Linked DNA regions of Canis lupus familiaris. The protein of the gene in region 4 purifies or fractionates together with the protein of the main gene of each other region. This does not show direct contact. Links are inferred from orthologs where the notes say so. Each region holds a gene or a part of one and is shown on either strand. Other genes may lie near its edges.

What was found.
Region 1: the proteins of MAX (region 4) and E2F6 purify together in Homo sapiens (affinity purification with mass spectrometry; 5 studies listed by BioGRID and IntAct, with this or other methods). This does not show direct contact. The link is inferred for Canis lupus familiaris from reciprocal best matches to the Homo sapiens genes MAX and E2F6.
Region 2: the proteins of MAX (region 4) and TFDP1 purify together in Homo sapiens (affinity purification with mass spectrometry; 5 studies listed by BioGRID and IntAct, with this or other methods). This does not show direct contact. The link is inferred for Canis lupus familiaris from reciprocal best matches to the Homo sapiens genes MAX and TFDP1.
Region 3: the proteins of MAX (region 4) and WDR5 purify together in Homo sapiens (affinity purification with mass spectrometry; 4 studies listed by BioGRID and IntAct, with this or other methods). This does not show direct contact. The link is inferred for Canis lupus familiaris from reciprocal best matches to the Homo sapiens genes MAX and WDR5.
Region 5: the proteins of MAX (region 4) and MNT purify together in Homo sapiens (affinity purification with mass spectrometry; 7 studies listed by BioGRID and IntAct, with this or other methods). This does not show direct contact. The link is inferred for Canis lupus familiaris from reciprocal best matches to the Homo sapiens genes MAX and MNT.
Region 6: the proteins of MAX (region 4) and YAF2 purify together in Homo sapiens (affinity purification with mass spectrometry; 3 studies listed by BioGRID and IntAct, with this or other methods). This does not show direct contact. The link is inferred for Canis lupus familiaris from reciprocal best matches to the Homo sapiens genes MAX and YAF2.
Region 7: the proteins of MAX (region 4) and SIN3A purify together in Homo sapiens (affinity purification with mass spectrometry; 3 studies listed by BioGRID and IntAct, with this or other methods). This does not show direct contact. The link is inferred for Canis lupus familiaris from reciprocal best matches to the Homo sapiens genes MAX and SIN3A.

Annotation. Positions count from the first base shown.
Region 1 is NC_049238.1:8,169,805-8,172,717, reverse strand, and holds part of E2F6 (transcription factor E2F6), read left to right. Parts: intron 1-561; coding exon 562-676; intron 677-1,486; exon of another isoform or gene 1,487-1,713; intron 1,714-2,913. UniProt on the Homo sapiens protein: Inhibitor of E2F-dependent transcription. Binds DNA cooperatively with DP proteins through the E2 recognition site, 5'-TTTC[CG]CGC-3'. Has a preference for the 5'-TTTCCCGC-3' E2F recognition site.
Region 2 is NC_049243.1:61,040,141-61,043,640, reverse strand, and holds part of TFDP1 (transcription factor Dp-1), read right to left. Parts: intron 403-3,500; coding exon 281-402; intron 1-280. UniProt on the Homo sapiens protein: Can stimulate E2F-dependent transcription.
Region 3 is NC_049230.1:50,406,245-50,410,221, reverse strand, and holds the start of WDR5 (WD repeat-containing protein 5), read right to left. Parts: upstream 2,801-3,977; 5' UTR 2,739-2,800; intron 2,068-2,738; 5' UTR 1,980-2,067; intron 1,974-1,979; exon of another isoform or gene 1,827-1,973; intron 1-1,826.
Region 4 is NC_049229.1:39,737,504-39,741,623, forward strand, and holds the start of MAX (protein max), read right to left. Parts: upstream 2,801-4,120; 5' UTR 2,786-2,800; coding exon 2,648-2,785; intron 2,510-2,647; coding exon 2,483-2,509; intron 1-2,482. UniProt on the Homo sapiens protein: Transcription regulator. Forms a sequence-specific DNA-binding protein complex with MYC or MAD which recognizes the core sequence 5'-CAC[GA]TG-3'. The MYC:MAX complex is a transcriptional activator, whereas the MAD:MAX complex is a repressor.
Region 5 is NC_049230.1:46,424,394-46,428,693, forward strand, and holds the start of MNT (max-binding protein MNT), read right to left. Parts: upstream 2,801-4,300; 5' UTR 2,428-2,800; coding exon 1,772-2,427; exon of another isoform or gene 1,217-1,771; coding exon 1,175-1,216; exon of another isoform or gene 1,156-1,174; intron 1,061-1,155; coding exon 949-1,060; intron 1-948. UniProt on the Homo sapiens protein: Binds DNA as a heterodimer with MAX and represses transcription. Binds to the canonical E box sequence 5'-CACGTG-3' and, with higher affinity, to 5'-CACGCG-3'.
Region 6 is NC_049248.1:34,870,834-34,874,829, forward strand, and holds the start of YAF2 (YY1-associated factor 2), read right to left. Parts: upstream 2,801-3,996; 5' UTR 2,668-2,800; coding exon 2,642-2,667; intron 2,251-2,641; coding exon 2,125-2,250; intron 1-2,124. UniProt on the Homo sapiens protein: Binds to MYC and inhibits MYC-mediated transactivation. Also binds to MYCN and enhances MYCN-dependent transcriptional activation. Increases calpain 2-mediated proteolysis of YY1 in vitro.
Region 7 is NC_049251.1:38,711,407-38,714,906, reverse strand, and holds part of SIN3A (paired amphipathic helix protein Sin3a), read left to right. Parts: intron 1-1,000; coding exon 1,001-1,107; intron 1,108-1,811; coding exon 1,812-2,094; intron 2,095-2,470; exon of another isoform or gene 2,471-2,714; intron 2,715-3,141; coding exon 3,142-3,393; intron 3,394-3,500. UniProt on the Homo sapiens protein: Acts as a transcriptional repressor. Corepressor for REST. Interacts with MXI1 to repress MYC responsive genes and antagonize MYC oncogenic activities. Also interacts with MXD1-MAX heterodimers to repress transcription by tethering SIN3A to DNA.

The DNA.
Region 1 (2,913 bases), on a different chromosome or scaffold from region 4:
CATAATTGGTAAAATTTCAAGTAACACAGTAAAGATAAAAAAAATTCACATAGATGGAAAATATTTGGGATACAGGAAATCGCATAAGTATATGATAGCCCCAAAGCACATACTCTCCTAGTGGCTTCTGCTCTTTCTTAGATTTTTTTCCACTTGCATTTTAGGAGATTGTCATCAAAACAGTGTTTTGTCCCCAAAAATTCTCATAGTAAGATCCAGCAGTGAATAGGGAAGTGGAAGCAGGGAGTAAACACCTTCACCTGAGTTGTTTTCTGTACGTTATTAATGTTTTTCTCCAGAAATTATCATCATCAAAATGACACTAGAGTTTAAAGGAATGCTTCTTTAGATACTGTAAATATTGTAAATAAAATTTTAAGAATTATTCATGAAATAATTATACATGAAATAATTTTTTACCAATTGCTTTCCTTAATTGTGAGTTTGTATCCCATAAAAACTGCAGAGATTCTAACGTTACACTTGTTATGCATGTATCATAAGAGAAATTATCTCCTCAGTAAGTAGCATTCTGCTTAGAGACCCTTGACTGATGTTTACACTAGCATATGTGACGTATCAGGATATTCATAGCATTCAGGCCTTCCACGAACAGATCGTTATTGCGGTGAAGGCTCCTGCAGAAACCAGATTGGATGTTCCAGCTCCAAGAGAAGTAGGTATCCCTGCATTTCTAAGAGGGTTTATTTATTTTATTTTTAAATTTTTTATTTTTATTTATTTATTTAAGATTTTATTTATTTATTCCATGAGAGACAGAGAGAGAGAGAGGCAGAGACACAGGCAGAGGGAGAAGCAGGTTCCATGCAGGGAGCCTGATGCGGGACTCTGTCCTGGGTCTCCAGGATCACACCCTGGGCCGAAGGCGGCACTAAACCGCTGAGCCACCCAGGGATCCCCGAAAAGGGTTATTTTAAAGAGAAAATTCAGTCAACTGCTGAGCCAGTGCTCTATCACAGTCGTGAGCACATTAGCTGCGTACCTGACACTGCTGGATGCACTTTACACATTTTAACTTGTTTCAAGTGACACAGCAAATAGTCATGATTATTGGCCTCTTAAAGGTGAGGAGTCTGAATGAAGCATAGAAAGATGAACTTTCTCATGATTACACAGTAAGTGACAGAATCAGAATCCAAACCCAGATAGTTTGGCTTAGAGTGTTCTTAATCACTGTCCTATCAACATACTAACTGTGAAGCACCATAGCGCCTGTGTTCTACTGGAGTATGCTGTGATGCCCTTGGAGGAATCACCAAGAATTGGCCTCATGGTTGGAGTTCCAGAAGGAAAATCTGGGGATCAGCGAAGGCTCTGGGGGAATTAACTGTAACCAAGCTCATGAAAGACTAATGGCTAAACTAGAACGCTAAGTGTTACATGAAAAATGAAAGGGAAGATTGCTGTGTGAATGAAAATACTCTTTGTCAGCCGCCAGCTGCTTAGCACACTCTTTCCCTTGCAGGGAAGTTTGTATTGAAAGATAATTGTCATCAGAAGGTTGCTTGGTAAGGATGGAATCAGAACCAAGGAATGTGGCCTTTCTTGGGACAGATCATCAAGTTCTGACAGCCTGATAGACCCATCGGTGCTCATAGTGATGTCCTCTGCTTGCTACAGGGACTCACCTCCCTCATAGTGGAAGAATACTCTCCATCATCTCTCCTTTTATCCCCGCAGAGCACTGTCCAAGTGAGCACGCATGTTGTTACTTGACAGTGTATTATTATAAGTCAGTTAAGGGGCAGCTTTTAATTTAGTCACACTCAAGTTGTGACTTCTGGGAGATGTTTCCTCATTATTTTATTCAGATTTAAGCCTCCTAAGTAACATATTTAATAGGAGTCATTTTGAGAGAATTTTAAAGTTTAAAAAGTTATAATTAGCCACTAATCTTTCAACACATCCTTACTTTGGGGCACAATGGTCTGTGCTACAGCAACTGATGGGCTTTGGGGTTTTCTTTCCCCTGTGCTGTGAGCTGCTTCAGGCTGTAATTGCCAAATTTTGCTGGGCTTTTGGATCATGCCCAAGACTTAGAGTCCAGTTTAAAGGCTGATGAACATGGGCCCTCGGGGCAGCCACTCTGCAGCACATAAGTGGGAGTAGTAGACAGGAGCACACTGCATTCAGTGGCATCTGCCCCCACAGAGATCCAGGGCGAGATCTGGGAAGCTAGTGCCAGGGTGGATAGACTGGCCTCGGGTCAAATCTGGTTTGTGAGGTTTTTATACATAATCTCCCTGGGACACAGCCACATTCCCATTTGTCTAGACTGTTGTCTCTGGCTGCTTTCACTCTGTAATGGCAGAGTTGTATAGTGGTGACAGGGATGGTGTGGCCTGCAAAGCCAAAAAATGTTTACGATCTCCCCCTTTATGGAAAACATTTGTCAGCTCTGATTCAGTGGAGTAAGGAGTCCTCAGTTGGCTGCCAGTTCTGAGCAAAATACCACTTCCTTTTGTTTAGTAATATGTTTTGAGTTGTATACGCTGTACCATTCCTGGCAGTCTAGAACCTGGGCATAGATGTTCATTCTCATACCTGTGGTCCCAGGAAGCCACAGAAAAGGTGACACAAGGTTTTGTGAGCCTCTGATAAGCTGCAATTCTGAGCCCTGTTGTGAGATCCCAGTGAGATGTGTGGAGCGGGAGGGAGCATGGTGTCCATACCTAGTCCTGGCCTCACTGCATGGAAGGACAGAGAACAGACTGTGTTACACTTGAACACTCTTTTGGTTAGAACAACAAAGGAATCATAACTGGAACTGTTCCTTAAGAATTTAGCATAAATTGGATCATTCCCATCTTTTGGCCAAAAAGAAAAAAAGCATAATTCTCAGTAGAAGCACCCTACTTCCTGATACCTCACAGAAAAAATATATAAATTCTG
Region 2 (3,500 bases), on a different chromosome or scaffold from region 4:
GCACACTCTTCCCTAGATGCTACTTTCCAGTGCAGAAAACGGAAAAAGTGCCAAAGTCACCAAAGTGCTGAGAAGCCAGCTTCCTCGTCTTCTTCCGATCGCATGTTGGCCACCCTCCATGGTGCAGACCCCTCCCCCCAAACCGCAGGGAGGCGGCCCCCTGCAGCCAGACTTCTCCTTTACGAGGAAAAGTGTACCCTGACTACATCTTTTCTGGGCATGACGGCCAGCCCTCATGGCCCAGAGAGCTGGAGGTTATAATTCTAGGCAATGTGCTCACCCGGCAGACCAAGGTGAGGGGTCTGAAGGCTGGTTCTGTGAGACAAAGTGAGTGTTAGGGGTGTGTGGGCTTCCTACCACGATAGTGTTGGGCGCTGCAGGTCTCTGAGGCGTACCAATTACCTACAGTCAAAAGAGACAATTCAGAACACAATCAGAAATGTCCCGCATATGACCCTGCCATTTTACATTTCCCATCATCTACAGCCACTGCTGAGCTCCATTAGCTAAGAAATTCAGAGAACACGGTCACGTGAGCCCCTGACAGCTGACCCTGCTGAGTTAGACGCCATCGATCAGCACTTGTGCCCTCATCGACCTCAGGTGTGTCCCCGGGTTCACCAGAAGAGGCAGGAAATGCCCCCACACCAGCGAGCCCCACGGAACAGCAGGCACCAAGGAGGGGGTGGAGAGCGGGGGCACCTACAGAGTAAGCCTCAGGGTACATCCCCACTGTTCCTCTTGCCCTAGTTCACTTGCCCTTCCCTTCAGGGACATGGACAAGGATGAAGCCCTCTCTTTCAGGGCTCCCCAAGTGAGACCAAAACACAAAGAGGAAAACTCTCGGAACAAAGGGATCACAGAGCAGGCCTTGTGGTGCCCCACCAGCCCACCCGTGTGTGGGAGCCTCACCCCAACAGCGGCTTCATGGGGGACCTGGCACCCTAAACACTGCAGTGGAAGGTGGCAGTTAGCACCAGCAGCAAAAGACACACTCCAGGCAAGAGTGGCTCTGGGGACGGCAGTGTGACCTGCCCTGCACGTGGTTGAGTCTGAGCACCCCACGCCATCTCTTCACAGAAGAAAGGGAAAGCCTGCTTTGTCTTTGACAAAGACTCGGAATTCGGTCTTGTGAACATGCAAATATTCCCATGGGGGACAGACACACTGCTGTGTATAGTCAAGTAAAAATCCCAGTTTTCTAAGATCTTGTACATGTCTCCACCCACATCACAGAGCTGATGCAGGAAACAGTTCAGAAACCTGACATCCCAATCGGAGAAGGACAAACATTATATGTTCTCATTCATTTGGGGAATATAAAAAATAGTGAAAGGGAATAAAGGGGAAAGGAGAAAAAATGAGTGGGAAATATCAGAAATGGAGACAGAACATGAGAGACTCCTAACTCTGGGAAACGAACTAGGGGTGGTGGAAGGGGAGGTGGGCGGGGAGTGAGGGTGACTGGGTGACGGGCACTGAGGGGGGCACTTGACGGGATGAGCACTGGGTGTTATTCTATATGTTGGCAAATTGAACTCCAATAAAAAATAAATTTATTAAAGAAAAAGAAAAAAAAAAAAGAAAGAAACCTGACATCCCAGCATCTACACAGCTGAGTGCCCCAGGGCCATTATGCCACTGTCCAACGAGTCACCCTCAGGCTCCAGGTGCTAGGGCAGCCCTTTGCAGGGGCAGGGCGCACCCTAGGGTCTCTCTGTGTCCACTGGGCAGCCAGGGGGACATCCCTTGGGCCCCTTCTTAGCAGGATGAGTGTGCTACCTGCCATGGCTGTGGGATAGCTGACTGGGCACTTTGTCCTAGGTCAGGTCACCTGTCAGTGCTAATGACCCACAAACCACAGAAAGAAAAATGTTCTCAATTTCATTCTTTTAATTCACACTTGATCATTTTCTAATGATCACAGATTCATCACAGTGTTTTCCAAACTGTGGATCACTCATTCAAAAGCCATGAAATCAACAGCATACTTTCTGAAAAAAAAAAAAGAGGTCAACAGAGACAAATTCCCAGAGAGGAGGCACACCTCCTGAACCTTCTGATTCTTTTAAATAAACATATGCATTTAAAGGGCCCTGGGTCACTGTGGAGAACGTGCTTCTGCCGAGGCCCAGGGCCACCAGTTTGGGAAAACACGGAGCCCTGTCACTCGTGGCACTTCCTGGACGTATACTACGCAGACTTGGTTGGCTACATTCTCAGGAGAATGGATTTAGGACACCGACACCCACACGGACGGGAAGGAGCATCACCAGAGGGCTACCTGACACCTGGTCCAGGCCCCCACAGCCAGCACACTTGCTCTTGTCTTCTCCCTAAGCTGGACCTCCTCACGCATCTGGTCCACAACGAGAACGAAAGTCAGAGGACCAGGCATACAGCAGGTACTCAATAACTAACCGTTCACAGTGAACATGGCCTCCCTGGATGACAGAAGGCTGTTCTCTCTCTGGTCCTCTCCTACAAACTGTGCCCGCAGGCACTGACTCTGGCGGGGCTGCAGCCCAAGCTCCTCATGAGCCCAAGCCACGCTCACATCACATGAAGACGAGGCTCCGCAGCCACAACACGCCCGTCCTTCTGTCCTCAAGTGCCTGGCAGATGGAGTTGAGAGACATTCGGACATGTACTCGGCTGCTCACCCTGCTGGGCTTCACAAGGGAGTTACCATCTCTAACTCCACTCCGAAACCACCAGGCTCCAACCAGAGATGTAACTTTAGGTCTGATAAAGTTTAAGGCACCAACAGACAAATGTGCATGTTAATTTTCTTCCCTACTATCTACAGCCACAAAAAGAGATGGATTCTCAATTAAGGAGGTATTCCCAAGCTATGTCCGATACACAGTACCTAAAAATAAAATGAGTTACAGAATAAAACAAAACAGAATATTTAACTTACATCAAAAACACATTTATTAAAAGCTATGATGAGCCAAATATCACAGCAACTCTCTAAGAAAAGCAGTCACGCCTACTGACGGGGGCTAAGTGACGGGACGCATCCACAGTTACCCGGGAGCTCAGATCTGAGCAAGCTCAGGTGGGCAGTCAACACCCTCCTCTTGATGCTACACATGGCCCAGGAGTCAGGGAGGCTTCAATCTGACTGAGATCCGTCAAGAAGGGCCCACTGAATCCCACAGGTGATCAATACACAGGGGCGCCCAGCACGGGCTGAGGAGAGCAGACCCACCTCTGCCCCCTTTTATCAGGTGGGGCAGTCAGGGACACACCTGTCCCAGTACCCTGACAGTCTACAGAGCCCTAAGCCCACTGTGTGCTCCACAGGGACCCCATCCCAGGCAGGGAGTGTCCACCCTAAGGAGGGTCAAGGCTGGGTGCTGCCACCCACACACAACTCAACACGGCTTCCCCAGGGCAGACTCGGGACCCATGGGCACACAGCACAGGCCAGGAAGCTGCCGGGCCTAAGCCAGGCCCCACTGTCCAGTCACACCTGCAGGCAGGCCTGGTCC
Region 3 (3,977 bases), on a different chromosome or scaffold from region 4:
CAAGCCATATTTTAAAAATTAATTCCCAGCAAAAAGGGTGAAAAACCTTCACCCACCTTGCTGGGCCCTGAGCAGACACACTATTCCAAAATGAGGAACCTATCTGTGGAGCTAAGTCTGCACTAAATACTCTTCAGATGCTAAGACAGGCTGCCCAGGCCCCTTTTGTCCATGTAATCCAAGGCCCCACCTTCAAGGGTGCTCCCTACTGTTATCCTCCTGGTAGGAATGCAGCTCAGGCCAGGCAAACAAAATGCAATTTTCTTCAAAGAGCCCTTGAAACGTAACAAAAAAAAAAAAAACAACCCTAAACCAACCCAAATTACAGGAGACTGAGCTTCAGGGTGTAGAAATTTGGGAACTCGTCCAAATCCTCACAAGTGATGCAACAGTGCTTAACTACCACGTTTGAAAATATACAAGAGCAGACACCCCCCCACCCCCCACCCCCCGCCCCACAGCGGTCTGCATCTCCCAGGGGGCTTCCCTGTCGTCTGGTGTAGACACAAGGCCGCCTCCAGAACCCTGGCAGCTCAAAAGGCGCTCTGTCCCTCGTGAGGCGACTACAAGACACAGCTGAGAAGTGCAAACCAGAGCCAGCCCTGTCTGCTGCTGAAGCCTGAAGTGTACACAGATCGGCTGCAAGCAAGCTCTCGCTGCAGGAGGGGAAAGACCGCAGCTCAATTAGGTTTCAGCGTGACAATGGGAGCTACCCAAGCTGTACAGCAAGCGACTCATTTGCTCTAGCCCAGGAACAGATTCCAGATCCTAGATGCGTCTCCTAGAAGCACACCTGGTGACTCTGAAATGGGGGAACCACCATGGTGTTCTTGCAGACATCACTGGTCATCCAATTCCTGGAAGCTTGCACCACTGTTAATCTAATGGTGTACACGGTGTAAAATTCTAGCTTGGCACTTAAAACTGAAAGCTTGCACGACTCCTTGTCACACCAAGGCAAAATGGAAGTCCATCAAAAAAAAGACCACGTCTTAAAGTCTTTATCCAAAAGGGAAATTACAATGCAACATACTTGTGCAGAGCACAGATGTGGTCCCACTGGCTACCTGTATATAGCAAGGACTTGGGCTTATGCCCAAGGATGGATCCTGCTGCACCCAAAGGCCAAGTCCTGGAGCAGGTCACATAATCACGCCCAGATACAAAAATGCTGGCACAAAGCTGGTGCTCAGCAAATACTAGCTGGTTTGTGAGTAAATTTAGTGCAACCCGGTCATGCCAATTAATCCGAGTGCTGCCTTGCTCTAGGTGGATGGACAAGTGGGGGGCGGGGGGAAGCTATGGAAGACAGCTGGAAAGACTGACTCACAAAACCTAGTATCTGAAGAAGGTATCAGCAAGAGCTAGGAGAGGTGTGGGGGAGAAACAGCAGTGGGAACAGAAGAGACTTCCTCTGGGGGTGACCTGGGCAGCTCAGGGAACCCAGAGCTGCTCCTTTTAACATAAAAATTGAGACCCGCCGGGAGGTGGAGTGTGACTCCCAGCAAACTACCTGCCCTCAAGGTGAGGACTAGAGAATACCACAGCTAATCTCACAGAAGAGGTGTGCGAACCCCTCCCAGCTCCATCAAATCCAATCTGCCAATCCCTTGGGCTAGCAAAACATTAATGTGCAATTTCTTGACTCCATGCCCCCAGTTTCCATTCAAGAGGAGGGAAAGCCTTGCATTGTCCGCGATGCTCAGGGAAAGCAACGGGGCAGCTGCTTAGGGACCGGCCTCCAGAGCACACGCCACCTGACCCCTCTGGGCCCTCACAGGCCTTTCACCCAGGTGAGCCTGACCATCCCAAACCGGGGTGCTCACCTGCACTGCTTGTAAAATGCAGATCCCCGGACTCCACCCGAGACTGGCCCACAGGCAGGTAACCCGGTGACCCGCAGGTGGCCGGACCAAGGGGGCGGGGTGTGCCGCTCTCCCCGCCTGTTTGTTCCGCGCGGAGCTTCCAGCCCAGCTTACCTATCTGCCTTCTGGGAGGGGGCCGGGCCGACCTCGGAGGCAGCGTGTGGCACAGCAGCTGCCAGTGCCGAAGCGCCGGGTAAGGGACCTGGGTGGGCAGAAAGCGGCATGAGAAGGCCACAGGGAGTGTCTCTGCCGTCACCCAAAATGGCTGTGGCACAGCACACTCAGGCGGCGCGGGGCGCTGCGGAGCGGGGTCCCCGGCTGCTGAGGGCGAGCCGCACCTGGGCCCGGCCGCCCGGGCTGGGGGTCAGCAGCAGGGCGCGGCGGGGGGCGTTTCCGCAGAGAGGGGCGCCGCGGTCCGCGCGCCCGGCCAGGACCCCGCCGCCGGGTCTGGGCTCTTTCTTCGGAGCAGCGGCGGAGAGCTCGGGGAGACGCGCGCCGGCTGCAGCAGCAGGTCCCCGGCCCGGCCCGCGCGCTGTCACCGGGCCGCTGGGGGGCCGCAGCGCGGTCGCGGGGGACGCTCGGGAGGGGCTGGCCGCGAGGAGGCGGAGGGGTCGCCGCGGGGCCCGGGCGCGGGCGAGGGCGAGGGCCGCGGGGTGGGCACCGGAAGGGAGGCGGTGGGGGCGCGGGCGCGGCACCGGGAGGGCCCCGGCGGGGCTGGGCCGGGACCTGGGACCTGGGACCCGGGACCCGGGACCCGGGACCTGGGCCCGGCCCGCCGGAACACGTGCGGCGGCGGGGCGGGCCGGGGGGCAGCCGGCGTCGGCCCCCGCCCGCACCCCGTGTGCGGTCTCTGGCCCAGCGGGCCCCGCTTACCTGCCGGCCGCGGCGGCGGGGCGGGCGCTCGGGGCGTCGCGTCGCCGCCGCCTGGGCGGGAGCCGGGCCGAGCTGGACGAGGCGGCGCGGCGGGGGGGGGGGGGGGGGGGGGGAGTGCGCGTGCGCGTGCGCGGGGGGCGGGGCGGCGGCGGGGCGGGGCGAGTGCACAAAGCCGGCCTCTCGGAGGGGCACTACGGGGAGCGGCGAGGGGCACAAGGCCTGGGGCAGGCCCAACGCCTTAAAGGGACGGCGTGCAAAGGGGTAACCTCAAAGTTGGCTGGTGCAGGTCCTTCTTGTGCACTTTCTAAAAACGGAAGTATGATGATACCTCCAGGAAAGTGCCAGTGTGCCCCTCGAAAGTTCACCTCCTGAACGCGGCCTGCAGCGGCGCCTCCAGAAAGCAGCAGGGCTCGCCCCCGGGCGTGCAGGGGAGGCAGGGCCCGAGGGTTCGTGGGAGACCCTCCCTCGGGGATCGCTGCCCCTCTCCGCCGTGGCGCGCAGCTGACCGCCGCAGCCCGTGTGCACCGCAGCCGGCGGCGCTGGTGTCTCCGCGCATGCCCGCCCCGGAAGCCAGGACCGGAGCCAGCAAGGTTGAGGGTGCCGGCTCCCCTGCGCTTCGCCCCCCCCCCCCCACCCCCAGCTCTCCTGCGCGGTCTGCCGGCCACCGCCACCGCCACCGGCAGAGAGCCCCGGCCAGGGACAGTGCAGGGCCGTCCTACCGGCAGTCACCAGGCGCAGGCCGCTCTGCTGTCTGCAAGGTGGGCTCCAGGACAGTTTGTCATGGCCGGGTACACACGAGGAAGGGGAACCCCAGAGGAGAGGGCTCGTGCAAACGGAGAGCCTGCAGCCCGCCTTCTGGCCCAAGTCCTGTGTGTTCTCATCCCGTTGGGGGGGGGGGGGGGGACACGACAACGACACGCGGGCCTTACAGTCCTGGAGGCAGTCTTCAGCTCCCAGGCCCCAACCCCCATCCCAGGCAGCATCACCTGCAGTCTTATTTCCCAATTAAGGACGGAAACACCAAATATGTGGCAGGAACCTGTGCTAACAAGAGGACATCATGTAAAAAGGAAATGCCCAGGGAACAAGGTGTGTGGTTGTCCAGGACACAAGCTGAGACAGGCTGCTGGTCTGCAGGCCACTCCCAAGGAGCATCGTGTGGCGCCAAGTCTCTGGCCCTGGCGTGGCGCTGTGTGGATCTCTGTTCCTGGGAGCCTAGTCACCTTGGGCCACCTTTGT
Region 4 (4,120 bases):
TAAAAATATTGTTTGGGATTCAACAAAGCTTACTGGTCACCGGAGAAGCTGTTTTCCGTTTGCACTGAGGCAAGAGAAAAAAATATTCGTCAAATCAGTTTCACTTTCTGTTATACTTAGCCTCACTTCCTAACTGTTCTTGCTGAGAATCTTATATTTCTCACACAACAAGGCTGTACCTATTGTAGTGACATTATAAAACATAAATAAATGTCTCTATTTCCATTAGGACTCACAGAACCTTTTTCCATACAACTTTTTAAAAGTTCTCCAATAGTCCTAAATACTTGGTTGTTCACATCCTTTTCTGAACTAATACAAAGCTTAAGAATAGTTCCCCCAAATTTTAAAAAATATATTTATTATTTATACTAAATGGTGGGAAATTGATGTATTCGCAGAGGGAAAAAACCCAAAATCCATTTTACCCCACTTGTTCACGATAATTGTTTGATATTCTATAAAATTTATCTATTGCTTCTTCTCTCCATACTATGGTGATTATTTTATGCCAGATAATATTTAAAAGTCTCAGCAAGTAGAGGTGTCAAATTAAAAACAGAGGGTCAAATTCACTCCCACTGCCCACCTCCCAAAATCAACGAGAAAAAAAACCTAGGCACCTTACCACCAAACTAAAAATATCTAGAAAAAACAATGACATTAGCATTCTAGGAGAGTGGAAACATTTTAATAATTTAATAAAGCAATTTACATCAATACCCTTGTGGATGGATATTTTGAAAAGCAGAAAGCTTTCAAGAGCTGTAAGCCAAACTTTCACAAAGAAAACTTTCTCTCACTGGAAAGCCAATGTAATTCCAAGTCAAATAATGATTCTGCAAAGCATGCCTAACCAATCCCTATCCTCCAATCCTGATCAAGCCCTGGGGCACATTTTATAACTGGAGACTTGGAAAAAAAAATGTTTTAAATAGACTGGATCCCAAACATGAAACTCCACGTTCACAATAAGGATCACAGTGACTAGAAAAAAAGAACTGAATTTCCAAATAAACACGTAAAGGTAAGTGTCTGACAATATATCAAGGAAAGATAAAACAAACAAACCTTTTATAGTGACTTTTACCCAGGTATAATTTTTAAAATCTTCTGGAACAACTGCATACTCTAGATTTTACAGCAAATATCAGCTCTCAATAAACAATATTTTTTCTTAATGCCTATCTGCATGGACAACCTATAGAAACTTTGCTTGCTCTAAAAAAGAACAGATATAAGGAAGAGGACTTGCTTTTATCCTGGGATACCAGAGGTACCAAAGTGTCATCCTGCATATTCTAACAAGTTCCCAAACAACTTGGATGTCCCAAACATCATTTCAAAAATCAGAAAAATAACATAAAAATCTGGGTTTCTAGACTTTCTTTAAAAATAAGATCTGGAAACAGTGAGCCCTTACTCCCACATAACACCCCCCCCCCACCGGAGTTTAGTGATTGCCTTTTCAGATGAGACATGTGCATTCCAGAACCCAGTCCTCACCTCCACTCTTTATTCCCAACGATCTTACTGCCTGGGCTCCCCAGAGGCATCTGAATTTTTGACCCCCATTCTATAAACTTCGTACTGTTCCCATCGGTCAAATGTTAGACACTCTGATGTATTTCTCTTCCTCTCTCTGACTCTGATTTTTTTTATGTCTATCTTTTTTTTTTTTCTCTAATCTATTCATGGTACTGTCCCAAACTGGAAAGGCATGAGAGTAGTATCTATCCAAATCCACGGAACCGTCTACTGACAACATTAATACCAAACCCTGAGAAATTTACTGATAACATTGCATGTCTCAACCACCACCTTTTAGCAAATCTATCTCTGCAATGCCACCTTTCCTTGACAATTTTTCCATTTTCTTTTATACCTCTCCTTCAACTCAATCAGACCAAAATAAGCAGTTTGTGACGCTTTCATATTCAACCTTTGGTTCCTCTACATTTCTAATTTCTGCATTAGAATGATACCAGGTTGTGCCAGATTCTATAGGTCTACAGCAGTCACATGACCACGTGACTTTTGGTTAAAGATGATTTTTTGCATGTGGCTTCAGCTTCACATAACTGTGCATGTATGGTTTAGAATCTGCTTGTGCCAAACGAAATCTGACCACTTTGCCCCAAAATAATACAATTTACTTCAGAATGACATTTCTCATTTTACACTTACATAGTGACATCTAGATCCCCCACCTGGAAACTACAGAAAGAGTCATTTCTCTGCAAACAGCTCCTTTCACTCACCTACACTCACTGAAACACCGGAGAGTCTAGGATGAGGAGATTTGAAAACCCGCCCCCCCGCCCCCCACCTAGAACCCCAGAAAACTGCCCCGCCTCACCTTAGCGGTTACAGAAGAGTTTACTACAGTATTAAAAACAATAGGACAATCTTTTTCTCTCTGACCCCAAAAAGGACTAGAACTGAACGGAAATGAAAATGAAATGGAGAGTAGGAGACGTACCGCAGATTGAAACCTCGGTTGCTCTTCCTGGAATAAGAGAGAAAAAAAAATAGAAAATATAGAAGTTATTTTTACACTTCACATTCAATAATAAGAAAGAAAATGCCGGCGGCGGAGGAAGCGGCGGGTGGGGAGTCAGCCAGACCCCCCTCCCTCCCTCCTCACCCCACGCCCCCATCCCCCCAGCGGGATCCGGTAGCCGGGCAGGGGGGGTCCCGAGCGCCGCCCCTCCTTCCGGGATCCGACTCCGGCCGGAGGGGGTTCAGAGCACTGTCTCCTCCCCTCGCACCCAGCTCTGGGCATCTGGGCACTCCCACCCCCTCTCCGCCCTCCCTCACCCGCCAGGATCCGTGGGTCACGGGAAGAGGGTGATCGCAACCGAGGGGGGCAGGTCCCGAGCGGCGTCCCCTTCCCCGGGAGCGGACAATGGATCCCGGGCGCACCCTGTCCCGGACCCCCGGATCCTGAGCGGGATAGGGTGGGAGCCGGAGGCAGCAGCACCTTCCTCCACCGGGGGAGGTGGGGGGTCCCAAAGGCCGCGTGTCTCCACCCCACCTCCAGTCCCAGAAGGCCGCTCCGGCTAGGAGCCTGGAGGGGAGCGAGCCCGGAGCGCGGCGGAGGCGGTCCCAGCCGGGGGAGGGGAGGGGAAGGGGAAGGAGGAGGCGGCTGCCCGGCCCCCTGCCGCCGTCGCCCCGCTGAGAGCCCCGGCCGCTGTCCCCGCCTGACAACCCGCACGGGAAGGAAGAAGCCCCGGGACTCACGTCGCTCTCCACCTCGATGTCATCGTTATCGCTCATTTCCTACGGCCCAGGGAGCGGCCACTGCAGCGGCGGCGGGGAAGGGGGAGGGGTGGAGGGGAGGGGGAAGTCACCGACAACAACAAGCCGAGTCCCCCCACACACACACACACACACTCACTCACTCACTCGCTCTCTCACTCACACACACACACACACAACACGGGCGAGAACCACCTCCTCACTGCAGCACCGGATCAACGGCGGCACGCACGCCCGGTCGGCCCCCTGCCACGTGACCCGGTCCGTCACGCTGGGGCCGCCGAGACTTGTAGTTGTCTTCCCTTTGACTGACGGCCCGGCTGGCTCCGGAAAAACTACAAATCCCAAAAGGAGCTGCACACGGCCGTCGCCGGTCCAGCCTGCTGACGGAGCCCAGAGCGCCTGCGTGTCCTGTGGAGGGGGGCGGAGAGCGAAGCGAAGCGGTGTCTGCTGGGAGTTGTAGTCCGCAGACCGCGAGTTGTCAGGAGGTTTTCTTCCAGAGGCTTGCAGAGGAGGCTGCTGGGAAGACAGGACACGTGGAGGGAGCTGGGGCTCCAGGAGCCCGGCACTGTCTGAGCGCCGGGCGCCGGGCCCAGGGGACAGGGTGGAGGCTCTGGGGGAGTAGCTGGCTGCCTAAATAACGCTGCCTCTCCTTGGTGCGACTGGTTTTACTTTGTCTTCCTGATGCCTGAGTCGCTCTGCATTGCGCCCTGGGGCGTAACCCGCTTGGGCCGGGGGGGGGGGGGGGGGTTGCGGGGGGGGGTAGCCTGCTGCGGGGGACCTAGGGGGCGCGGCTCGGAATGCCCACGCGAACCTTTGGGATCTGGCAGTGGGGAGGTGTCAGTAGCAGGTGTTAAGT
Region 5 (4,300 bases), on a different chromosome or scaffold from region 4:
CACTGCCCAACGGCTCGGCTCCAACTCGCGTCTCCGCGGCAGCCAAGCGTGGCCGCCCGCCCCACCCCCACAGCCTCCTTCCCGGCACGCGGAAACCTCGGCCGGTTTCCAGGGAAACCGAAACACAGGGCCGTCATGGCAACAGTCTTATCTGGCGGGCGCCCCCCACCCCGTACTGCAGAGGGAAGCCAGTGCCCAAGGCGGGGGGTGGGAGGAGGCACAAGGCCAGGAGGGCCCCTTGAAGAGGCTCTTAAAAATCCAAGCAGGCGGAGAGCTTGGTTTTCAAGGGTTCGGTGACCCCAGGGTTATTTGGTCGCCCAGACCGCCACACTCCCCGGTCTCCAGGTGTCAGCCCCAAACGAGTCGCGGCGCTTCGACGCGCTCGCTGGATCGCAGTCCCTCGGGCTGGAGTGGGGGGCCTCGCCGGCGCGCCGCCTTCCGCCAGGAGCCACGCCCAGGGGACTCCCCACCCCCCCGCGAGCGACACTCCCGGGCCGAGTCCGGCTGCCGCCCAGGCACCGCGGGCGGGGTGGAGGCGCCGGGCCGCTCCCCGCCCTCCTCAGCCGCGGGGGCACCAGCGGCGTCAGGCAGGAGCGCGGGACCGGCCGCCCGGCCGCCGGGTTTGAACACCGAGCTGCGCGGGCGGCGCAGATGGCAGGGCTCGCGGGGCGGCCGGAAGGGGGCTGGGGGAGAGGGGAACGCCGCGGCCGCCCTCCCCCGCGCACGCGCACGCGCCCCCCGCCCCCTCGCGGGCGGGGAGCCCCGCTGACGTCAGCCGAGCCATGTGCTCCGCGCCCGCGTGGAGGCGGGCGGGGGAGCCGGAGGGGGAGGGGGGAGTGAGGGCGGGGCGGGCCGCGGCGAGGGGAAGAGGGCGGGCGGGAGCGGGGAGGAAGCCGGCGCCGCGGCCGCCGCCCGCCCTGCTCTCGGCGGAGCCTCCCTCCCCCATACCTGGATGTACCGCAGCGCCGTCCGCAGCACGCTCAGGTTCGACGTCTTCTTGTCGTCCACGTTGGGGATGTTGCGCTTCAGGGTCTCAAAGCATTCCTTCAGATGGGCCCTCCTGGGGAGAGGGGGAACGCTGGTTGGCCCGCGACTGGGGGGCGGGGAGAAGAGGCCCCAGGGGGGCTTGGGGGACCAAGGGGGGGGCCAGAGGCACGCGCGCACGCACACACACCTGTTCTTCTCCAGTTTGTTGTGGACTTCTCTGGTTCCGATCCTGAAACCCAGACAGGAAGGAAGTTGAGGGAGGAGGGCCCAATTAGGTGGTCTTCTGCCCCCTGCTCCCCACATTCTGTACAAAGCAGCAGTGGGAGATGTTCAGCCTGTGTAGAGGCACATACAGCCCCTGGACGGCACGCGTATGCTCATAAATCACAATCCCTTTAACCCTCCATCTTGCCCTTGTCCACCTGTGAGGAATCGGAGGGCCTCCTGGAGCTCACAGAAATAGCCAGTTGACCCCAGCCCTCACCAAGAGGTCCTCATTCCAATACTCTCGCCAAAGGCCTGGAAATGCCAATGGGCCCATCCCTGAGCAGGTCAGAGAACACAGAAGCCTGACAACAGAGGGCAACAGCCATTACCCACTCCTGGGTGGGGATGGGCACAGGCACAGACCTGTCCAAATACGGATAAGATGCATCTCAGGTGGGGAGGGAGGACATGGCTTTGAAGAACTAGCTTAGGAGGGGCTACTTTCTTTTCCACATGGAGCCCAGAATGTGGGCAGTTCTCCATCCCATCAGCCCGGATTCAGCCACACCTCACTCACCCCCCGGGCCTCTTCTTCTGTTCGCTGGATTTGACTTCTTCGGCTGGTGCCAACTTCAGGGTCCCAAGAGTGGATGGCGGTGGCTGCTGGGGAGCCAGCTGGGTCTGGACTCCAGGGTGAGGTGCTATGGTCAGGATGGGTGTGGGGAGGGGCTGCAAAGGCTTGGGGCTGCCAGTGGGCGGAAGGGTGGTCTTGGAGTCTGGCAGCAGGGGGGCAGGGTTGGGCACCTGTGGCCTGGTGGGCAGGGGAGCAGAGTCCTTAATGCTGAGTCCAGGGGTGCTAACCAGGGCTGGCTGGCGAGGCGCCAGGGGCAAAGGCTGGGCGGCAGGAGGCAGGGGTGGGGGCAGAGGTTGAGGAGAGTTGGTCACGACTGGAATAGGAATGACAGTCAATGGGGTGGGGGTGGCAAGTGGCGGTGGGGGTGCTGGTGGGGGTGCTGGGGGAGACAGAGGTAGGGGTGGCGCTTCAATGCGGGGTTCCTCCACAGGCAGGGCATGGGCCAGCCTGGCCAGGCTGCTGGCCTTCTTCTGCTCTTGCTCCCTCTCCCGCTCCAGGCGAAGCCGCTCCTGCTCCTCTACGCAGAGAGAACACAAGGGATTTCTCAGTGGGCCAGCAGTCCTGGGCCCCAACTTCTGAAGTCTTCCACCATAACACATCTTCTGACTCTGTCCCAATCAGTGCTCAGTGACATGCCTGCTCAGCCTGAGAGACACCCAGCCAGGCACTTGGGCTAAGGGTTGGGAGCACAGCAGTGAAGAGTTTAAACACACCTGGTCTCTGCCTTTGGGGAGCTAGGCCTAGGGGGTGAGGGGAAGGACAAGTAACATAGGATAAGGATCCAGGCTGGAGAGGAGAGGGGCTGTAGAAAAACAGAGCAGGAGGTTGGGGGCCTGGCAGCCTGAAGGTAGAGGGGTTAGACTGGGGCAGGGAGGTTCAGGAACAAGGCTGAGGGTACTGTGGTGACAGATAAGCTGGGCAGAGGCCAGTCAGCAAAAGGCCTCACAGGCCATCATGGAAGAATGGACTAGGGGTGGGACGGGGCGGCAGGCGAGGCGGGGGGGCTGTGCTGGACAGATCATGGCTTCTAGGGAAGGCCTTCAATAGTATTTACAAGTACCTTCCAGAGAGCAGGCAGCATCTTCATTTCAAGATGAAATAAATTAGCTCAGAGAGGCAATGATTTGTTGAGGATCACAGAGCAAGTCACAGGTAAAACTGAAACTAGACCCAGCCAGGAATTCTGACACCTGGCGGAGCCTATACCAGCTGTGTCAGCACGTGCTCACTAGGTGTCTGTCCACACACACACACAAACACACGCGCGCGCGCACCGCTGGGTCCCCACAAGAGTGCACGCCACAGGCAGGGCAGGGACATCACCTTCAGTTCACACATGAGGAAATGAGGCCCAAGACTCCCAAGGTCTGGTTTCCTTAGGGACCCCACAAAACACATTCGGTCCTTCTCTGACCTTTGTGGTCCTATAACTTGTTACACCCAAATGCCCCCGTGTCCCCACCAGCAGCAGCACAACCAGAAAGGTACGAGGCAGGCAGAAAGAAAAGAAAGGCAGCCTTGCACCTGTCAGTTCAGCATCTCTCCTGAAAGCCCTGCTGCAAAGCAAGGCCTGCTCAGGACCTCCCTGAGCACACGGAAAGGGGGAGGGCCCTTCCTGAGCCAGAAGCATCTCTCCACCTCCACCCTGCCCTGCACTCTCCAGGTCCCACAGTTCTGGTTCCCTGGCTCCAGCTGGGAAACCCCAGGCCTGGGAGCAGGCTGGTCAACCAGCCCTCCTGCCTGTCAGGGATTGGCCACACCGCTGCTAACTGATCTGACGCTGCTAGCTGCTAACTGAACGGACAGGTAGTTGGCAGACACGCCTCAAACATACCACCCCACAAGGGGTGGGGCTGGAGGACCAGGTAGGCTCAGAGCCCCCTACGGAGGAGGGCATCAACCCCCAGCGCCCCACGTGTCTCTGGGGCTCAGCCCTTAGGACCACCAACCACTGGAGTGTGAGCCAGGACTGCTCCAAGCCCTTCCCTCCCACAGGGGAGAAGAGGCAAAGGAGGAAGTAGAGAAATGTGAGAGAGGAAGCACTCAGCGGTTTCCCAGCAGCCCTGGCCTCTTCCGTAGCTCCCCAGCCCTTCAGGAAGGGGAGCTGCCAGGCCTGCTCCAAGGAAAGGCCTTCTCTCCTGGGCCTTTCTGTGGCCCCCGCACTGGCTTAGGTTACAGGCCCAGAGAAAAACCAGCTCTCTGCCCTCCAGCTTCCCAGAGAGCACACTAGCCAAGAAGTCTGCGGAGTTCCTCCCGCCAGCTTCCCAGTCCATCCCCCACATTGCTCCCTATCCCACCCCTCTACCCCCCTCCCACCCCATCCCCAAGCAGCTCAGGGCCCGACACACAGCCCACCTTCATGCTTCTGAGCTAGGACCCAAACTTTCACTGGCTTTGGGACCAGTGTTCCACTATCCCATTAGCAGTGGGACTGAGAAGGCCCCAAGCCCCAAGGACAGGTGTCCTGGGAAC
Region 6 (3,996 bases), on a different chromosome or scaffold from region 4:
CTGAGCTGCCACCACCTACTCTATTTTCTCAGGGTTCCTCTAACCCCAAGACTGGCTGTGGAGTAGGACAACAGCTTCCCCCCTTCCTTGCTGTCCCTGCAAATAAACATATAGGCTCTTCTAGTTTCAGTATTTTTTCTAATGGCTACAAGAAAATAGAGAGGGAACAACAAAAAGCAACAACATCGTACCAGAGATTAAGATTATAAAATAATTGTCTCCACTTTAAAAGTCCCTGCCTGGAAAAACCACATTTTCTGAAAATTGCTTGAGTGTTTTAAGAAGCACAACGTACTAACATAGATATACAAATATATTCTAAACCAAATCCAACCTTATATAAAAAAATAAAGATATTCTACTTTTCAAAATACTTAAAGCACGGGTCCAAAAATTGTTGCCATGTTCACTTTAGCAAATAGGTGCTTTTTTTTTTTTTTAATGGTCTATTCTATTTCTTGAATTTAGACATTTTAAAGTTTGCTTCTTAAAGGATATCATGAAAAATGCTCTACATATTTTATCCAATGTAAATGAGATTTAATATGTAAAAAGCATATTAGGATCCATGAAAAGACAAGTATGTGAAATGCAGCTAGCTTCTAACTAAGCAAATCTTAAAATTTATTTCCAACCATTCTGCCTCTATCTTTAAAAAAAAAAGTCATAAATTGTTGTAAATGGTGTTTTAAAACCTGGTTATCTCGTTTTTAGGATTCTAACTTCTACCGAATATATAAATCTAATGTCAATACCAAATAGGCCTTTTTTAAAGCAACAGTCTATCACATCAGTATACCTATACCCTTGAGTTTCTAACAGACTATTTTTTAATATCAAGGCACATGATATCTAAATATTAGCTATAAATCCCATGCTTACAATAAATTCCAAGGCTACTTTCCTATAAAGTGGAAGGAACTCTGTAACGAAGCGTTGGCAGATCAAGAACGTCAGACTTTGAATTTCCTGTATGATTTTCTTTATCCACTTAATCCACTAAGTGGTTTGTTTTTTTAAAGACTGAGCTATTATACTGTAGGCCTACAATAAAATAAAAACTGAAAATAGGCAGAGATCATTTCATCTCATTTGTATAGCCTAATAGATTGCCATTTCATCAAACTAAAAATACTCAAGATACTTTCAGTAAAAAAACAAAAAAAATGTGTCCCTGTGACCGGGCTCACCTCCAACTATTTATAAAATCTTAGAGAATAAGGTTAAAAATACTAACCGAAACGTTGATCTAACCGTTCCAGACATCTATATATAAAATACAGGAAGTTCAACCTATTGTGTATTCTAGAATCAAATACTTTTTCTTTCTTTGCTTTTGGAAGAACGAAATTAAATTCTACCTTTTGCTTTCTCCAGAGTGTCTCATGGTTGGTTTTTTTTTTTTTCCCCCTTTGATTCCTAGAATCAAATACTTTTTCTTTCTTTTCTTTTTTTTTGGAAGAACGAAATTAAATTCTACCTTTTGCTTTCTCCAGAGTGTCTCATGGTTGGTTTTTTTTTTTTTCCCCCTTTGATTCCTAGAATCAAATACTTTTTCTTTTTTTTTTTTTTTTTTTTTTTTTGAAGAACGAAATTAAATTCTACCTTTTGCTTTCTCCAGTGTTTCATGGTTGGTTTTTTTTTTCCCCCTTTGATTCCTAGAATCAAATACTTTTTCTTTCTTTTCTTTCTTTTTTTTTTTTTTTTGGAAGAACGAAATTAAATTCTACCTTTTGCTTTCTCCAGAGTGTTTCATGGTATTTGTTTTTTTTTTTTCTCTCTCTCTCTTTGATTCCTACACACTAACACAACAATGCAGCCAACATTATTATACCCGGAATGGGAGGCCGGCGGGGGGGGGGGGGGCATCACACCCAGCGATACGAATTACATCGCAGGAGCTAATGCCTCGCCTTAAATAATTTATTCTCTCTTGGCAGCAAAGTAACGTTCCGGCCTCTTCAATTACCGCTCGCCGCAAACCGCGGCTCGGGGCGCGATCAACGTGACCCAGTTCCTGTCGCGGCCGCCACCTCGCTCCCGCCGGGGCTGCGGTGTCACGGGAGGGGCGGCCTCCGCAGGGGCGGGGGCGGCGACGGCGCGCCGGGCAGGCCCGCGACTCACCGGGTGGAGGTGCCCTTCCGCACATCGCACATCATGCACTTGAAGGCCTCGGCGCTGTTCCGGAAGGTGCAGACGCTACAGTCCCAGTAGCCCTCATCCGAGGACGGCTTCGGCTGCCGCTTCGGCCTGCAGGACACAACCCGGACACGACGCGGCGCGGGGTCACCGGCAGGCCGCGCCCGGCGCTCGCGCCCCGCCCCGCCCCCGCCCGCCCCAGGCCCGCGACCCCGCGGCCCCCCGCGGCCCCCCGCGGCCCCCGCGCCCCGCGCCTCCCCGAGCCCGAGGGAAGCCAGCGAGGGGGAGGGCGCGGCCGCAGTCGCCGCCGCTCTGACACCCGCGGCCGCCGCCATCGCGGCTCCATTGTGGGGCGGCCGGCGCCGGCCCCTCACACGCGGCAGCGGCAGCGGCAGCGGCAGCGGCGCCGCCCCCGGTGTGGCCCCGCAGCCCGGGCGGCGAGCGAGCCGGGGAAGCCCGGCGCTCGGGCCCCGCCGCCTGCGCACCGCCCGGGCCCCGTTACCTGGTGGGGCTCTTCTTGTCTCCCATGGCTTGGCTACCGACGCACGCCGAGCTCGCCGCCGCCGCCGCCGCTCTGTTTGTCAATAAGGAGGATAATAAGCCGGGGCGGAAGCGGGCGGGGGAGGAGGAGGAGGAGGAGGAGGAGGAGGAGGAGGAGGGAGGGAGGAGGGGGCGGGGAAGGCCGCAGCGCCGAGCTCGGGAGCCGCCGCCGCCGCCGCCGCCGCCGCCGCCGCCGGAGCCCACGCAGCCTCCAGCTGTCGGGGAAACTCCTGCCTGGGCGCACGTGACCCGCGCCGGCCAATCAGCGGCGGCGCCGGAGACTTCAAACGCGGCCAGCGCGGCCCAGCGCCCGCGGCCGGTCGGCGGGGGCGGCCGCCGCCGCAGCCTCCCCGCCGGGGCCGCCGCGTGACCCCTCACGGCCCGAGCTGGCGGCGGCTCCCGGAGGAGGAGGAAGAGGAGGAGGTGGAGCCGCCGCCGCTGCTGCTGCTGCTGTGCTGCCGCCGCCGCCCCGCCAGCCCGCGGGACGACGGCCGCCCCGCTCGGGAGGACAGCCCGGCCGCCTCCTCAGGTAGGGCCGCGCGCCCGGCCCCGCCCGGGGGCTCACCTGGGGGAAGGCGGGAACCAGCCCGAGCGCGGGCCTTAAGGGGGGGGAGGGCGGGGACTTGAGATCCCAATTTCTCTGCACGCGAATCTCTGCCCAGAAGGTATCGTCGCCCTTAAATTAGAGGAAACGAAACCGAGGCCCGAGAGAGGTGAGGTGACCTCCCCCGTATTATTATATAATGAGAAGATGACAAAGGCAGGACTTTAACCTTGGTTTTAATTCCAAATGCATCCTTTTGCCCCCCCCCCCACCACTATTTACAATGGCTTTAAAAAAAAAACTCATAAACCCTTTTTCTTTCTCTCTCCCTCTCTCTTTTTTTTTTTTTTTTTTTTTTTAAATAACGAGTTTACATATTCCCTGGAGGCTGCTGACTGAGAAAGGAACACGTCTCTCCCGAGCCTCGTTGCCTCCACATACCGGATGCGTCGACCTGGCCCCGCGAAGCTCCAGCTCTACTTCCTCAATCTATTAGGTAATCTGCAACCAGATTGAAAATAAAATGCAGACGACGTTAGGCCACCATCCGATCTAGCAGTTCGCTAAAGGCTCTCAGACTCCAGAGCCTGGCATTCAAGAATTTCCACTTTCTCCCTACCTCCCTCTCCCTATCCGACTCCCTCCTCCCACCCACCCCCCATCAGAAAAGCTGCCTCCTGGCGAAGACAGCGGATGAAACTCTTGTATTGAGTCCCCAAAACTCTTCCTTCGCCTAGGTGTGTGGCTTCCTTCTGCATATTTCCCTCTTCTCT
Region 7 (3,500 bases), on a different chromosome or scaffold from region 4:
GGCACCCATAAACTGCTTTTTTGTTTGTTTCTGTTTTGTTTTTAAAGATTTTATTTATTTGAGAGAGACAGCATGTGCAAGAGTATGAGCAAGGGGAGGGGCAGAGGGACAAGTCGACTCCCCACTGAGTTTGGAGCCAGATTGGAGACTTATCCCAGAAACCTGAGATCATGACCTGAGCTGGAGTCAGACGCTTAACTTACTGAGCCACCCATGTGCCTCTCCCCTAAACAGTTTTTTAACAAGATTTGCAGGACATTTTGGGATCTAGGCCCTGCTTCCTCTTCGGTCTCCTCTCTTGTCACTCTTCCTGCCACCGTTCTTCCCCTTCACCACAGATCCTTCAGCCAAACTAAACTGTGTTTTCCCAGTGTACCAGATGGTGTCCTGTCTGGGATTATGCTCATGCTGCTTCCTCTGACTTTGTAGGTCTGTCTTCACTTTGGCTAACTTGTACTCATCCTTAGGACTCAGTTTAGACATCACTTCTTGGGGAAGCCCTCCTCCTCCCTTATGTGCCCATAGGTTTTTCTTAGTGCAGAAGTGCCCTTCCCATGTGCTCTCTGGGCATTTTGTGATCACCCACGTACCCTACTGTATCAGGATTCCCGGCTAGATGTGAATGAACTTCTGTAGAGCAGGGACTGTGCCTTGTTTGTCATTGACTCCTTAGTAATTCATGTTGGGCCTGGCACGGTATGTTGTAGTTTAGTAGATACTTGTGAAATGAATAAGTGAATGATATTAATGTGATGATTTTTCACTAATCATTCTCCCCAAAATTATCTAAAGCAAGGCTATAAATTTTATGAATTGATTTTTATTTTAAGCTTGAGTTTTATGGGCATCCATACTAATGTTTAATACTTTCTTGTATATTTATTATATATTTTTATTTCATTTTATTTTCATGTTAATTTTGTTTAGGCATAAATCATTTGTTTTAAATAATTCTTGGCTTATTTTCTTTTTATAACCTTGAGATTTATCCCTGCCTCAGGTGGAGGATGCGCTGTCCTATCTTGACCAGGTGAAGCTGCAGTTTGGTAGTCAGCCTCAGGTCTACAATGATTTCCTTGACATCATGAAGGAATTTAAATCTCAGAGGTAAAAGATCTATGTGGTTGTATTCAAGCTTTGTGCTTGAAATGTTGCTTTTGGAGGGAGGATATTGCTTATTTTCGTACGCTGAAAGATAAAGGATGCCTCCTTTTGGGGAGTTTAATTTTTAGGATCATGTCTTTATTTCATGTATTGCTTTCTTGATGACGATTATGGGTCCTGGACTTTGTATTCACCCTGTTGGTTAATTTTCCTTAGCACGTCATCTCAATCAGGGAAGTAGAAGGATAGTGATGAGCCCCACCTGGTCTCGGAGTTGACGTAGGGTACGCTAATATTCTGGCGTGGTTCACTTGCTAGAGTAACTCGTGAAAACTGTGAACACACAATGATTTATCCTCATGTGGTAGAGAGTGGGTCCTGCGTGGGAGTTGCTGCTTTAGATATGCTGTTAAGGATCTGCTTGTTAGGACTGTTATCGTGAATATATGTTGTGTTCAAAATTGTGACCAAACCTCTTTGAATATGAGGCTAAAATTGCTTTGGAATTTCAGAGTTCTTTGTATTTTGTTGATTTGGTGATATGCAGGTTGATTTTACATGTTTTCCTATTCAGAGAACCTAGTGGAATGTGCATTTTTTTCTTACTAGGGTATTGGTAAAGCTTGCCACTTTAACTTTTTGTGGTGTGTGTGTGTGTGTGTGTGTGTGTGTTTGTATGTACATGTTTTGTTTTTTGTTTTAATCAGCATTGACACTCCAGGAGTGATTAGTCGTGTGTCCCAGCTGTTCAAAGGACATCCCGACCTGATTATGGGCTTCAATACCTTCTTGCCCCCTGGCTACAAGATTGAGGTGCAAACCAATGACATGGTGAATGTGACAACTCCTGGCCAGGTTCATCAGATCCCCACCCATGGCATCCAGCCCCAGCCTCAGCCACCACCCCAGCATCCTTCTCAGCCTTCAGCCCAGTCAGCCCCAGCTCCTGCCCAACCAGCTCCTCAGCCCCCACCTGCCAAAGTCAGCAAGGTGAGCACTTGGAATACGTTGCATCAGGTAAAATGCATACCTAGAAAGCACCCTCCTTTGATATTTCCCCTTTATATAGAATTTAGAGACATCAGTTGTGGTGATTTCATCACAGAAGCTGAAGTAGTCACATTGGTATAAGATGGTTCACATTTACCTTCCACATACTTAGGTATCTGTTTAGATCAACACATCCATAACTTATAAAGAACTTATTTTGTCCCCACCTCCTGCCTTGTGAACCCATGAGCATCCCAACAGATGGCAACTTTATTGTGTAGTAGTACTTTGATGGCACAGGCAGAAATGATCATCTGATAATCAGATTATGTTACTGCCCACGGGGTCATCATTTTATAAAAGTCACTCCATTTACCAGATTAGGTCATGGCAAGCCAAGCAGAAGATCCCGTTGCTGGTGGTGATGATGGTGGTGGTGTGTACTTGCTCTAGAACTGCACTGTCTGATACAGTAGCCTCTAGCCACATATGGCTGTGTTTAAATTTAAACTAATTAAAATAAATTCAGTTTCTCAGTTGTACTGGCTACATTTCAAGTACTCAGTAGCCCTGGGTAGCTTAGTGGCTATATTCTATAGGACAGTGCAATATGAAAGAACATTGCCATCACTGGAGTTCTATTGGACAGAGGTGGTTTAGAAGATTTTTATGTGGAATTCTGCAACAAGTGTCTTTTGACATTAAAGATCTATGGAGAGTAAGGGTTGATTTTTTTTTTTCTTATTATGTTTGCACCTGTTGAGTGAGCTTAAAAATTGCATTAGAAAAATTCTTCCCTGTAATTGGAGATGTAGCCACTTCTCAGGTTGTATTTCGAAAATTTGAAACAAAAATATCTGTATTAGAGAGTGTGAGCCCTTGCACTCCCCATGCCTGCCCAGTGTGATTTGAGTTGGGCTAACTGGCCTGGTCAGAGTAAATAAAGTACATTTGTTGATCAGACACCTTGTTTCTCTTTAGTTTGACCTTTCTTTCCTATGTCAGACCATCTGTATTTCTGAGGAGAATGACTTTTTTTCTTTTTAGCCTTCCCAACTACAAGCACATACTCCAGCCAGTCAGCAGACACCCCCTCTCCCACCATATGCATCCCCACGCTCTCCACCTGTCCAGCCTCATACACCAGTGACAATCTCGTTGGGAACGGCCCCATCCTTGCAGAACAATCAGCCTGTGGAGTTTAATCATGCCATCAACTATGTTAATAAAATCAAGAACAGGTTCCAGGGCCAACCAGACATCTACAAAGCATTTTTGGAAATTTTGCACACATACCAGGTAAGAGAGTTGCCCTTTCAGCATGTCTTAATTAATCAGGTCACATGCTGAGGGCATCTGGTCTGAGAACTTGAATAACCATTATTATGTTCCCTAAGTTTTACTGG